Linked DNA regions of Oreochromis niloticus. The protein of the gene in region 1 interacts with the protein of each later gene in a pairwise test. Links are inferred from orthologs where the notes say so. Each region holds a gene or a part of one and is shown on either strand. Other genes may lie near its edges.

Region 1 (7,017 bases):
TTCAGGTTTCGCTCAAGTTTCTCGTCCAGATGGTGAAACCTAATCAGAGCTCTATCTCATGCAACAGGCAGTGCTCTGATATTTAGACAGCTGACTGAGTCAGCAGCCTAGTTAGCCCCAATAATCAGCGTGATTGGTGTTAGCGTTGGGAGAATGCGCTGCACATGTAATGAGTATGCAGTGACTATTGTTGCAGAGGAAGTGGGATCTGGAGGCAAGGGCTCAGTTTTCCAGTGATTTGACAAAAGAGGAAAGGGAGTAGGAGGTAGAGTGATGAATTAATGGGTTAAATGTACTATTTCAACATTTTGCATGTGGACAACTGGACATTTAGTGCAAAGGAAAATAAAATGTTGAAATCTGTCATTTTATGTTGTAAAATGGCAAATATTTCAGTTCACTTATGGAGTTTCTAATAATCACCACGGAATTTGGATTGAAAGCTAAATTAGTGCCAGTGGTGTTTTTGTTTTGTGTTATTATTTAAAGTCAGTCTAAAGTTAATCCTGTTATATTTCCCTAACTTTTGGTATATAAACTTGTTGTCAGCTACAGCAACACCCAACCAGTCAGAGGGGGAAGAAACACACTCTCCAAGTATCCTGTGGAGATGTGGGAATATCACCGGTCAACTGCAGATGATGCACTGCGAGTACAGAGACCTTATCCAAAGGGTGCAGGATTAGCAATGACAGGCTGAAATCCTCAAATGGACACAAACTGGCAAGCAGACTTTCTATGAGAAACTCTCACTGATATCACTTTGCTAGTGAGATTTCTTGCGACTCGACCCCGGCCATTTATCATCGTGTGACTGATTATTGTGGTGCCTGCAGGTTGCAAAGGTTTTGCAGGTCATCAGCTGCTTTATTATCAATTTAAATATAGTATTAAAAAGGTGTTTATTTATTAATGATTTGTGAGAAGTGTGCTTTTTATAATTATCTGTGGTTTTGAATTTTTAAATACATTTGTATGAATGAGGCCCGATTCAAGAGCAATTAAATGATTATACATGCATAATTTATGGGTGATTTTTGGGAGAATCACAAATGTAAAATTTAACAAGAAGGTGTGTTAAAGCTCACTGCCCTCGGGAGCTTTACTGTCCTGAACAACTGCCTGTAGATAAAAATAAAGGAAACTTGTAATGGTCTTTTAAATTTTGTAGGAATTAAGTGGCGTGTTTTTTTTGTGATAATAAGATCATTTAAAATAAATGAAAAAAGGTCAAATATTAATATGATTAGCTACATACATTTTGTAACAGTAGTAAGTTCCCTATCTAAACTTGGCCTTTGTTAAACATGACACTACAAATACTTCCCAGTCTTTCATTTTACTTCAGTAAACCTGAGATTTCTTTTAACTGCAGTTTTTAGTAAATGAAAACAATTTGCGTCCGCCCGGTTGTTTAGTGTGCCATGAGGCACCGGTGTAGTCTTTTACAATCCATGACATTAATTCTTTACTGCCCTCTTTATTCTCAGCTCTCTAAAAAGTGTTGCAACAAACCAGATGTGATTTTTAAACAAAACATGCCAGTAGTCAGATGTGCCTGCACACTTATGATGTGGCCTTTGCTCCACGCTTCAGTCCGCCTGTCGCCTCCCGCCTTGCTGCGTGTCAGCCGGCACCTACAAACCGCTTTCCAGACGTTTTTTTGTTTTTGTATCAGAGCTGCAGAATTCCCAACAGTTGTGCTGTTGAATGATTTAGAGTGATGTGTACAGATGTTTCTGTTATTCTTGAGCTCTGTGTGGAATTTCTTAAATGCTGATATTTATGTTAAAATGTTTATCCAAGTAAAATAATGAACAAAGACATTTTAGAAATGCCTCCAAAGTATTTTACATGAAGTCTCGGGTTGTGCAATGTGTCAGCTTTAAAAAACACACGAATGAAATCTCTGCCTTCAGAACTGCTTCACTTATCGCTTCGGAAAATCCCAGCTTCTCTTACCTGAACTGTCACTTTTCCTCTTGCCGTTTCTCTTCTCGGCCTCAGCAGGTGACAAAGTCTGTCTGCCAAAGTCTGCAGGCACACAAGAGGCCCCTGTAGGGGTGCTGCCACTGCCTAGACTGGGGGTGCTGGCGCACATACTGGGCCCACCGGGGTGGCCCAGGTCTGAAGGCGTGGGCCCATTGTCGTGAGATGAGTGGGAGTGTGGGTGGCAAAGGCTGTGGCGAGTACTGCTGCCAGGTGACGGCATCTGCGGGATATGCCAAGATGTATGGTGCTGAGGTGGGTGGTGATGCTGCTGGGAGGGCAGGTGGCCGCGGTGAGGGTGGTGGTGGTGCTGCCCAGGAAACAGGCTGTCGTCACCCGGGTAGCTGGAGATGATACAGGGCGAGGGTGAGGAGGTAGAGGAGGAGGACGACGAAGAGGCCAGGTCAGGGTAGGAGACATGGTCCGAGCGTCCGTGAAGCGCCAGAGGAGACTGGGTGAAGGCGGGATGCAGGGCCTGCGCCGGGGCGTGGGGGCTCCGCAGGCAGCCGAACAGTGTGTGATCCATTGTGTGCAAACACACACACGGCCCTCCGGGAAAGGTGAGAAGGGCAAGCGTAAGAGGCAATGTTACTAAATCAACCAAAATCAGAAAGATCACAAGCGCATATCCAAGATGCTTCCCTTTCTTCCTTGACTATCCCAAAACTTTTCTCTTCAGTTAGGAAAAAATGGTCAGAGCAGCAAGTAAAATGTGTTTTGAAATGGGTGTCCTGTGGTAATCCAGAGCATGCGGCCAGTTGCCAGGCTGTACAGGATAAACAGTTAGCCCAGGACAAGCTGCAGCTGAGCCTCTCAGATGTCAGGAGGAACACGGGACTGGAGCTCGAGGCTGGGAGCAGAAGGAGGTTCCTAGGAACTGCAGAACGAGGGGAGCCAGCGCAGGGGATGTTATAAATAGGGTGTAACGTGAGAGGGAGGCTGGGTCATAGACTGCATACGCGCTACTGACCACATACATATGATCACCCTCCAAAAAGCACAGCATAATAAATCTGTACTATTAAAATGGCTGAGCCTCAGGAAAGAAGGCAATTTATTTTGGACTTGGATCTGACCTCGGGTGGCCATCTTTTTTTCCTACAAGAAAACAGCCTTAATGGTTCATGGGTGGGGCTGGGGGAGGGAGAGGGAGGTCGTATGAGGGGAAGGGAGAGAGTGTGAAGAGAGAGCGAAGGAGAGGTGTCAGAGGTTAACTCAGCGTGTCACCCCATCTTTGTCAAAAGTTGGTGGTAGCGGGCAAGGATGCTTGTAGCGTCCATTAAAGGTCACTTTAAGCCATCACTATCACGATCATGTGATGTTAAGAGAGCTATTTTGTCACTGCAACGCAGACTTGCAACTTATTGGAAACAAATATTTTGGAACCAAACTTTTCATAAGTGAAAGGAAGGCTAACGTTTTGCCCATGCTAGACTTAGAATGACCACGGTTCCTTTTTAATGTAGTGTAACCAATCATTTTGTGAATGTGACTTTTTTTGGAAATGGTGTTTATCTCATTTTGAAATGAAACACATCATTAAACCGATATGGATACATTTCGACTTTTGATACGAGGTCGTGAAGGTCACAAATCTGCTTCCTGAAATAACAAACTTTATTCCACTATTTTTTATCACCAATAATTGCTGTGGCAAATGTGGAAATGCTATTTTATACAATTGTAGATGCCAACACATTGTTTTTATATAAACTATGCCTGTAACAATTTCTATTTATATATATATATATAAATTAAATATTAGTATGTGGAGCGTATTCGTGTGTAGAGAAGGAAATGAACAGAAGGAAAGTTGTTCATAAATTTTTTGCTCCTAACATTAGTGTCTCTCTTTAAATTTGTTTGGCTATAAAAGAAAAGTCATTCTTTGTGAGAAGTAGGGGGAAAATAGCAGCTGGGAAACAGCTGTGAATGTGTCACTGGTTTCTCTTATTTTCTCTAATTATTCATATCCAGAGCTCAACTAAAGCTCAAATAAAATCAAATAAAATTCATTTATTTTTCTCCTGTCAACCTCATTTAAGACAGAAAGTCTTGGAAGAAAAAGATGAGACATAATAATGATTTGTAGCTGTATGGTATTGACCTAATGGGGGAATTATAAAAATCTGGTTCTATACAATTACATTTTCTTAGTCACGTAATTTAAAATGTAACACTTTGTGTGATATTGATGGTTCATATAATAGAATTAAATTGTAACTTAAGTGTTTTACATTTTCGGTGAAATACAGATGAATGATCGTCTGATAGATATCTCCTTTCCTTCCTATTTCTGTTTTCTAAAATTCAAAAGCACACTTGCACACTGCCCGCAGTATGAAATAAAAGAATACACAGGATAAATTAAATCAATATAATCTATAAAACAAAATTAAAAGTCAAAGCTGCTTCAGAGCTTTCATGGCTCGGCCAGGTTTTAGAGGGAGACGGTCACGATGACTCCACACTCTAGGGATCCAGTCAGGCTGTGCCATGGGGCTCTGTGAGCCGCCTGAGAAAGGAAATTAATTCCTCTTTGAGGGAAAATTACTTTAACAGATAGCATGGCGGAGGCAGGCTGTAACTTTGCCGCTGTCGCTCCCCCCCAGTCCCTCCAAAGCCTCTGAAGGCAGCAGAGGCAGCGCAGCAGAGGAAAGGCACCTTAGGTGAGTGAGTGTCAAACTCTTCTACTGTTTATCTTACAAATTAAGGCTATTAGCAGGTTAGCCCAGGCTATATATTTGCTCAGGGCCTTGAGCAGGTATTACTACACACGTGTTTCCAATCCTATTGCTGGTCTCGCTACACCGATGGCCTGTGGCGTGGGTGTTTTCAGTCGGTCCGAGTCTTTGGCCCTTGTGAGCTTTATGAGGCAAAATGTTCTTGTGTGTGAATAAGTGAGAGAGTGTTGGTGTGTAAAATAGGGATACATTCATAGTTAAAGCCGACATCTTTTATTGTTAAAAAAATGAAGGATCAAAGAGTCTTATTGCCCTCATAAAAGCAATTAAATATTTTACACATTTTATATATTTAATTAGCTTCTCTTTTTTATAAATTAAATGTAATCCCTGACACTGGTTACATTTTGTGCCTTTAAGAGCGCCTAACCCTAAAAGTAAACGTCATTAGTTTGTATTCAGTGAAGATATTTAGTGTCACATGATGGTGTAAATGCATTTTCAAATGTGTTCGAACTCTGAAATTTTAAAAAACCCAACAACTCTTATTTGGAAATAAGAATGATGATATTCTGAATACTGGCACAAACCGTGGTGCTGTAAATCCACCGCTACCTGTGTTGGCCTCCAAAAGCACACATTTGTCTGACTTTTTATGTGATGACATGTGACATGACGTTTTAAGGCGAGTGTGTGTGTAAAGCATAAAAAGTTCAAAAGAAGAGGCTACCAAGAGGCTGTGTTTGCGATGATCTTAAAGCGGGGCTCGGGGCAGCATGTTTTCTCTGCAGTACACAGAAACTGAAGGTAAAAGACCTGCTGCTCAACCTGTGGCTGTCAGTCAGTCCCACAGGCAGGACACATTACAGCAACCACAGCTCAGTGCCACCGTCACCAAAACAAACATGCAGCTACCACTTTACTCCTTTTCTTATACTAATTTAAAGAGTGTGTGATGGTGTTTAAAGTTAACATCGTCATTTGCTGCTAAATTACCAAACTTTGTCTAATTGCTGAAATTTTACCAGCCAGCAACAGTGAAAGTTCTGGCTTTTGCTGAAATGTAAAACAGTGAAAAAGTATATCTGCCTTTCTTTAACATGTTATTAAAATTTCTAAGGGTTCTTTCTTTTTTTTCTTTTCTTTTTTTTCTTGTAGGCAAAACACAAAAGAGAGCAAAAATTAGAAGAAAAGAATAGAAGGAAGCTGTGTAGTTGGATTTAAAAGCCCCTGAGAGCTTGGAAGGAAAAAATCTTACCTGGAAACGCAATAGGCCAATACAGAGGTACTACACAGATAAGCACACAAGCAATGATATGATCAAAAGCAAACAGAGCAAACAAAAATCCAACAGAGGCATAAAAGAAATAATGTGTTGAAAGTGTGTTGTATGCATTAAAGAAATGAAAAAATGAGAGAAGGGTAACGGTATGTTTTCATATTTCCTTTATTTAGCATGTAAATGAGCCTTATATGGCACCTGGCAGTGAACAAAGATGTTAATATATTTGTTAATATGTAACAAATATGTTATTATGGGGCTCACGTTCAAACACAAATTAGAAAAACACAGATGTAATAATGTAAAATATCTTTTTTAGGAGAAGTTATAATTGCTGCCTTTATGTCCACATGCAGCAACTTTAGAGTGTGTTACAAAACACTATATATTTATATACTGCATTTAAAAAGAAATCTGCTGGCACACCAGCTTACCAGACTTTATGATAAAACTAAATCCTTTCAGTTATTCTTGCTGCCACTTGCTGCACTCACATTCCCAAATTTAACGGGCCCGGATGTGTAATATGCTTCACTACAGAAAAGCTTTGATGCCGGCTCTCTCGGCTTCAGAGTCTAATATGAGCATTTAAAAAGGCCCAGTGTGTGTGTAATCAGTATTAAACTTTTTCCTCTTGTTTTAGTCTCCGGCTAATATGGAAACATTTCAGAGTGTATAACACTCAGTGAGCCTCTAAAGCGTGCAGCGAAGTACGGACGTGATAACCGAAGTGTCTTTGTAAATAAGTAGAAACCTGCAGAAGGTAGAACACTGATTTCTCCTTACCCAAGATGGAGTGAGTACAGTGATTTTTATTTAAAAATAAATTTTATTATTATCCCTTTTAATAAAAATTGCAAGCAAACGTGTTGGAAGACAAGCAATTTTCACGATTGTCATCAATAGAAAATCCCTTTCAAATTAGTAGCAGCAAGTAGTTTTTCCTCATTTTTGTCAGGCTCCGTAACTTGAACATATTTTTAGGACTCAGATTCTTAATAAGGAGGCAATACTTAAATGTGCTACAGCTTCGTTGACAAATACCATATCACACTGAGCTGA
Region 2 (7,610 bases), on another chromosome or scaffold:
TCTCTCCCAGCACTCCTTTCCCATCAGTCTGGCTCTTTCAGTCTTTCTGTCTGCTCCCATCCAACCACCAGACCGCTTCTTTGATCCTGACAGATGCCGCACCTTAGAAGGCCTATTCCTCTGTTTCCTATCCAAACCAGAACCTTTTAAAGTGGACTGCAGTCTGACGGTTACATTTGAGGTCATGCGTTTAACTTTCCTCCGCCTCCTGAGTGGACGTCCGGGGTTATTCTCATTGAAGGAGTCGGACTCTGGCCAGGAGGACTGCCTCGCCCTGACTGAGCCTCTCATGAGGGACGGCCATCGGGTGGATGCGGTCATATCGTCAGAGTCACTGCAGTTGGCCACAGAAGTAGTGATGTTCTCCCTGTATTCTTTAGCCTCGTCCAAGCTGGACTCGGATGCCTCGATCCAGCATCGCCTGTGCTCTATCGGGTAGAGGGTGGACTCGCGAAAACGCTTACGGCCTCTGCGACGGCGGATCTGACGGCGTTGCTCCAGAGGACTCAGGACCATTTCCTCCCACAGCTCTCCAAGCTTATTCTGTTCTGAGGTCTGCTCCAGTGCAGACACCAGGTCCTGCACCAGCTCATCCATCATGGTGCTGGGAAAAAAAGAAAATGTTAGTGACCAGTTAAACTCTTTGGATGTCTTGTCATGTTAAATTGCAGTTGTTAAGTGCAGGCTAGAGGTTTATATGAAACAATAGAAACGTCCAATGTACTTTGATGTGCTCCTCCTGAAGTCACTCTCATTTTTTGAAAATATACCCACAATGTGGGCTTTTCTAAATGATTATCACCATCTTCACTCGCTGGCCAGTTTATTAGGCACACATGTTAAACCTCTTGTTAATGCAAATATCTAATCAGCCAATCACACAGCAACAGTTCAGTGCATTTAGGCATGTAGATGTATTCCTGCTGAAGTTTAAACTGAGCATCAAATGGGACTGGTCCCAGTATTTCAGAAAGTGCTGATGTACTGGGATTTTCTCACAATGGGTTATGGGTGCCAGAATGGGTTATGATGCCAGAGGAGAATGGGTAGACTGACTTTGAGCTGATAAAAAAGCAACAGAAACTTTAAATAACTACTCATTACAACCAAGATATGTAGAAGAGCATCCCTGAATGAATCTGCAGAAACCACACTGGATGACACTGCTGTTAGCTAAGAACAGGATACCAAGACTACAGTTCATACAAGATCACCAAAACTGAAAAGTAGAAAATTTGAAAAATGTTATCTGGTCTCATGATTCCCCATTTTTCCTGCAACATTTGAAATCAAATCAAACATTTAGACCGCTGCTGGTGGTGTACAGGTGCAGAGGATTTTCTTGGCACACCTCAGCAGCTCAGTATTGTTTAAACACCACAGCACACCTGGGTATTGTTGCTGAACACATCCATCCCTTTCTGACCCACCAGTCTACCCACCCTCTAATGGCGACTTCCAGCAGGATATGCGCCACGTCCCAAAGCTCAAATCATCTCAAACAGGTTTCTTGAACATGACAATGACTTCACTGCACCCGGATCTTAATCCGCTAGAGCGCCTTTAAGATGTGCTGGAACAGGAGATTCACAACACAAAATCTACAGCATCTGCCTGATTCTGTCATGTCAAAATGCACCAAAGTTTTTGAGGAATATTTCCAACACCTTGGTGAACCTGTGCCATGAAAAATGAAGGCAGTTTTGAAAACAAAAGGGTGTCCAGTCCAGTACTACCAAGATGTTCCTAATAAAGTGGCCAGTGAGTGTGAATATTCAAGGTGTAAAGAAAACAACAAGTCAAACCATTCATTGAGAAAGTCTAATGGAAATAGTGTATTTGCAGGTTGTTACTTTGCTGGACTTGCCACTAAACGACATGCCATTGTTCCCTTTTAATTTCATATATTTCTACTCTTATAATTATGCAATCATTAGTGCTGCAGCGGGCATTCTGCTAGGACAGCTGGGGTCCACCTGTCCCTCTGCAAATCAATACAAAGTTGCTTTCTTTCTTTATGGGCGGGTTCTCTTATGGTTTGAGGAAGACATAAATAATGTGCTAAACCCCGCACAGTCGCAAGAGCATCATTAATTGCCTAATATGGAAGTATCTATTGAAAGGATGGTTTGTGGCTTCATTTGGAGAATGAGTTGCAAAGTGAAACTGCTCCGGAGGGACTTAATAATGCAGTTACACGTGTTTCTTGTAATTTGTTACCTGTTTGTGTATCAGCAGCATTATGAACTATACCTTCCCAACCATCTCAGCCATGATGACTGAGGTCCATTTCAGTAGACCCAAGTAGCCAAGTGGCAGTCATAATCCCATTTTTAAAGACATGGGACAAAAAACAAACAAACAAAGAAAAACACCACCTCCTCGCAACAATCACAAAGTAAATCTACAATAGCTTTAGCGCTATAAAACATCACTAGGTTGATTTCCCCCCCCTTTAAGTCTAGCAACATAAATTCGTGGTGGGCTCATCACCGGAATTGCTCCGTGTTTGATTGCAGCGGTGTAGAAAGCGCTGCATTTACGAGCATTTGCAGGTCATCATCGGCTTAAAAGAAAAGAAAAACGATTGACATCACGTTTTATTAGCAGTAAAGAAAAGCGACCGTGTAGCTGTGCAACATCAGTGCAGCACAACAACAGCTCAGGCTGGCTGTAGTATCCGCACGCTCAGCTCAGCCTGTGTTACATAACAACAGCTCACACGTGAGCTCAGCACAAGGACAGCCACACATCTCTGTGTCCACTGCTGACAACAAAACAAGCGGTTTACACGCGCTCAACACAACAGCCGCCTCACGGACACGGTGCGCGCGGATCTATTCGGATGCTATTTAACGCCAGGGAGAAGACATCCCTCTGCGTTTCGAGCACTCACCAGTCGCAGCTTGTCTTGTTTTGTTTTCAGCACAGCTGGGACACCAGACGCACTTCCGCCCTGCAGTCCAGCCAATCGGGTGGCTCCGCCTCGCTGTGACTCCTCCAAACAAAAAAAACAAAAAAACAGTGCGCCACTGCACAGTGCTGTCGAAATACAGCCTGCAAGGCAGATAACACCAGCGTCTGATCATTATGGCATCACTTCAGGAAACCGACGGAGTGCTGGTGTGGAAGATAATGTCAGTCAAATCTGACTTTGAAAATGTGCAAGTTTTCTTCCATCAGGGTTTACAAAAAGTTGTGGTGGTAGGAAAGGAGGACTGTAGGGGGACTGCATGCTGACGGTCACAAGGGACAATTAGAATGAGCTTATGCTTATTTAGTTAGTGAAGTACCTGAGAAAGTCCCATTCAGTTTAGATCATGTGTGTTTTTCATAGACTAAATGTAAAACTGCATCTTGTATGTTTTGTATATATTTAAAGAAATAGCTCTATGTTAACATCAGACCACCTCTCAGTGTTAGCAGGCTGTCTCACACAAACATACTCCACTCCTGTTTTGATGGGATTTGGTAACTTTAGCTGGATACCTTTGCTTCCACTGTGTAGAATTCAGAGGTTTTAGAAACTATGGATTGTTTTCTCTGCTAAACACTGCTAATGCACTGTTTTTCTATGCTGATCTAAAATGAAACTTAAAATTGTGCACCCGTGAGTTGGATATATAGTGCAAAAGTCTTAAGATACCCTTATTTCTATGTAGTTTCCTTGCAAGTAGCCAGACTTTCTTGTCATTTTTGAAGTGGTCTTAAACATTTGTTCTTCAAGCTTTCAGAAGTTCTGTCAAAGTTTTTCTTTGGACATTGGCTGATTTTTAACTTGTTACCAATCCAGTCATTGTACCACATCTGATAGTCTGATAGTATTTAATAGGTACATTGTTAAGAAACAGAGACAAATCCAGGAGAGACATGACACAGGACCTGAGAGATGCATCTGGCCCTGATTGGGAACAGCTTCATTTTGCAGTATGACAGTGATTCCAAACACACTTCCAATGCAGTAAAAGCATACGTGGATAGAAAAACACAGAATTACAACACCATCAGTCATGGATTGGCCTCCACAGAGACTGGACCTTAACATTATTGAAGCAGTGTGGGATCAAGGACAGAACAAAAGACAGCCAACATCCAAAGAAGAGCTTTGAATGTCCTTCAAGAAGCCTGGAGAACTATTCCTGAAGACTACCTAAAGAAATTACAAGAAAGCTGCCTAAGAGAGTTCAGACTATACTGAATAATAAAGGTGGTCATACCACATAGTGACTTTCAAGTTTAATAGAATTGTTCAAACTGTGTTTTTGCCTTATATACTGTATTTCCATTTATGCTTACACATTTTTCAATGAATCTCTTCACCCATTTCCCAAAATAAAGACACAAGGGATGGCTCATGACTTTTGCACAGCACTGTATAATATTAGCATTAACCAAAGTCAACTTCATTAGTGTGTTACCTAAATCTGAAGTCAGCAATGCAAATACACCAACGGTGAGAGCTGACTTTGAATGAGGAGAAATATTGGATCCAATAGTAAACCGGGAGAAAACCATTTTTCTTCCTATTTTTTCATCTCGAAAGGTGAAAAATCCTCCTAAAAAATGCCTGAAGGAGACTTTTTAAAGCATCCATCCATTTTCTTAACTGCTTGCCCAGCTTAGGTTTGCACTGGTGAGTGGGTAAGTGGGGGCGCTCAAGGCAGAAAGGCCCCAGCTGACGAAGAGGTTCAAACCAGGAATCTCCTTGCTGTTAGGTGACACTGCACCACTGTTCTGCTCTTTTCTCAAGCATATCTAACACTATGTGAAGGCTTCAGGTATTATTAGTAACAGGTTTGCACTGTGTTGTGAGTATGCAATTTACTCATTCTCTTTTTAAGACACTGTTGTGTTGGATTGCACTGTTAGACCTCACAGTGTATTGCAGGGCAGTATGTCATATAGCTGTTCAGTGGGAAATGATCTGTCACACAGCTTGAATAAAAGAAAAATCAAAGAGCTTTCTATTTGCTGCATGGCTGTTGTGGAATTGCACAAGCTTCTATAGCCGCTCCCAGCTGTGTTCATCCATAAAATGATTGCATACATAGAAACATGCATATGCTGTGCATGTATCAATGTTACATTTTGTCCAATTTCTTCAAACCAAAATCCCAAACCATGTTAAATTTGTAATTACTGTAGTTCCAGATGTCAGATTACAGTAATTCTGTTGCTGCCACACTTTTTAAAACAATAGTGGACTAATAAGTGTTTTATGATTGAAGCTCACTGTAATGATGTTTTCTCAATGCTAGTGTTGTTGCTGAATGAAGCAGAAAAAAAGTAATTTACCATTTCTTTCATCTATCAGATGAATGCAGCCCAAATAATAAAAAAGAAAAGTCAGTGAAAATGAGTACAAAAGCCATTTAATCGCTCTCATCTTCCTCTTAATAACTGCAAATTTCCCCTTGGGCCCATGGGAGAGGGCCTCTCTGTGCCGCTGCCACCTTATCTGTCGCCTCCATATTTCAGCATGCTGAGCGGCTCCCTCAGTACCCAGCCCCCGGCCTCCTCTCATTGGGCCTGTGGGGAAGCTGGGCTCCTGGGCCCGCCATTGTTCTGGCCTGGGAGGAAAGTCCGGAGAGAGCCCTGAAAGCTGGAGTGTGGGAATATTAAAAAAGAAAGAAAGGAAAAAAAAACTTTAGCCACTGCTTCATTAAGTGGCAGCCTTTCACAAGCAAACATATCAGAAACAGCCCCCTTTCAGAGGCAGTAATTAGCAATTTGGAAACCTTGCCCCCTCAGGATATACTGTTTCAATTTAGTCAGCAGCTTTGGATTCTTAGGCACTTAATATTCATTGTTTCTGCCTTCTTCCCAATTTCTCGACGTACATTGTCTAGTCTTTCACTGGCGATAAAGTGTTTTATCTGTTGTGTAATTCTTCTTTTGAATGAGCTCTCTGCAAGAGAAGTTAATTTTTATAAATAATTTTCTAAGGGATTTGCAGAGAATGTGAGGGATGCGATAGCAAAGTGCTCTTCACAAAGTGCCAAAGTGAATATCATATGGAGTTTGGAGGCTTCATTCAGTAAGTGTTGGAATAAATAAGGGGACGGGGAAAGTTCCTGCAATTTCCTCTGATGAAGTTACATCTTTAATGCGTCAACGCACGCGTTCATGAAAACAAAAAAAAACAGAAGTTTGCTACATCTGGACCCCAACTTTGACTCTGCGAGGAACAATGTGACACTAAAAGTACAGAATTATGAGCTGTTATTATTAATAAACTGCTCTGTGTTTGTATCAACCCTCTGCAAAGATTTAATAGCAAATGTTTTGCAAACTGCTTATTAAGCCAAACCACACATCACACCTCAGGGGTAGCAGACTGACACTTATCTTTGTCTCCGTGGAGCCTTTGTTTCAAAATGTTACCACTTCCATTCATTTTCAATCAGCATTGTCTAATAGAAATAATTGATTTTTTTTTTTTTTGCCTCTTCTTGGCAAATGAAAAACGCTTGTGATTAAACACTTTGTCTCCAAATCTAAATTCCAAGATCGCCATCAACACTTGAGAAAAATAGGCAACTCATTAAAGCAAAAAAAAAAAAGAAGAAAAAAGAAGTAGCTAAGATGTGAAAAGAGGAGACAGGGAATGAAATAATGAATGGAGTCCGAGCGAGCTATCTTTCCCAGGCAGAGCGCCACTAGGGATGCAAACTCTCAGCCACCAGAAATGAGCTACCTATCTGTGAAAAGAGTGACTGCTCCATCCTATTTGATTTGGCTCTCCTATCAACTCTTAAGAAGATGTCAGCCTTGCTTCTTCTATTGCTCTGAGCCTTTATCAACCCGGAGACGATTTCCCGGGGAAAAAAAAAAAAGAAAGAAAAAAAGAAAGAGGGGAAGAGTAAGTGGGGGGAGAGACACATTTCAGTGCCTTTCAGGGAGCAACACTAAAGAATAAGTGTTATGCGATAAAAAGGGGGTTGTTAAATAGATCTGTCTATTTGTATGGTAATAATGATCGCTTAAAGACTCGGGTCTCCGTGACTTGTAGAACAAGGAAACAAATCTGTATTCAGGTATTGTGTTAACATGACTCTCCCAACGACCTTGTGAAACTTTCATACAGTAAAAAATGAGTTGGATTTGAGTTTTTCCCCCCCTTCTGTTTGTATCATTCTTTTCTCTGTCCTTTTAGAGAAGGGGAGGGGTTACAGAGCTGAGCGCCAGCTCTTTACATTTTAAATCATCTTTGTCAGAGCCGTTTTAGACAGATGGGAATGATTTGAAGAGTTCTCTAACAGATCTGTCTCTCTTTAAAAAACTAATCCTACGAGGGTGTCTCTTAATATGTTTCGATCATTGTTATGTGGCATCTTTTTCATCGCTGAAAAATATTTAACTGCAAGTAAAAGCAGACTTTTAAGTTACAGATGAGGACAGAGGTATTGCTTCCCCTATGAAATAATTTTTTTTTGTCAAAAGCAATGAAGCAAAGGATTTTCAACATTTCTATATATACTAATTTTTATTAAAAAAAAAGAATAAATTAATTCTGTTTGAACAAAATAACAGAATTATTCCAGAAAAAAATAAAATACCGGGGTCAAAATTATTAGCCCCCTGAAAAACTGATCTTTTAACTGTGCAGT

What was found.
Region 2: the proteins of meox2a (region 1) and G patch domain-containing protein 2-like interact in binary tests that used the Homo sapiens proteins (3 or more experiments, as listed by UniProt). The two-hybrid records come from large-scale screens. The link is inferred for Oreochromis niloticus from reciprocal best matches to the Homo sapiens genes MEOX2 and GPATCH2L.

Annotation. Positions count from the first base shown.
Region 1 is NC_031976.2:32,488,356-32,495,372, reverse strand, and holds the start of meox2a (homeobox protein MOX-2), read right to left. Parts: upstream 3,017-7,017; 5' UTR 2,516-3,016; coding exon 1,963-2,515; intron 1-1,962. UniProt on the Homo sapiens protein: Mesodermal transcription factor that plays a key role in somitogenesis and somitogenesis and limb muscle differentiation. Required during limb development for normal appendicular muscle formation and for the normal regulation of myogenic genes.
Region 2 is NC_031983.2:10,367,203-10,374,812, forward strand, and holds the start of G patch domain-containing protein 2-like, read right to left. Parts: upstream 3,016-7,610; 5' UTR 2,897-3,015; intron 605-2,896; 5' UTR 601-604; coding exon 1-600.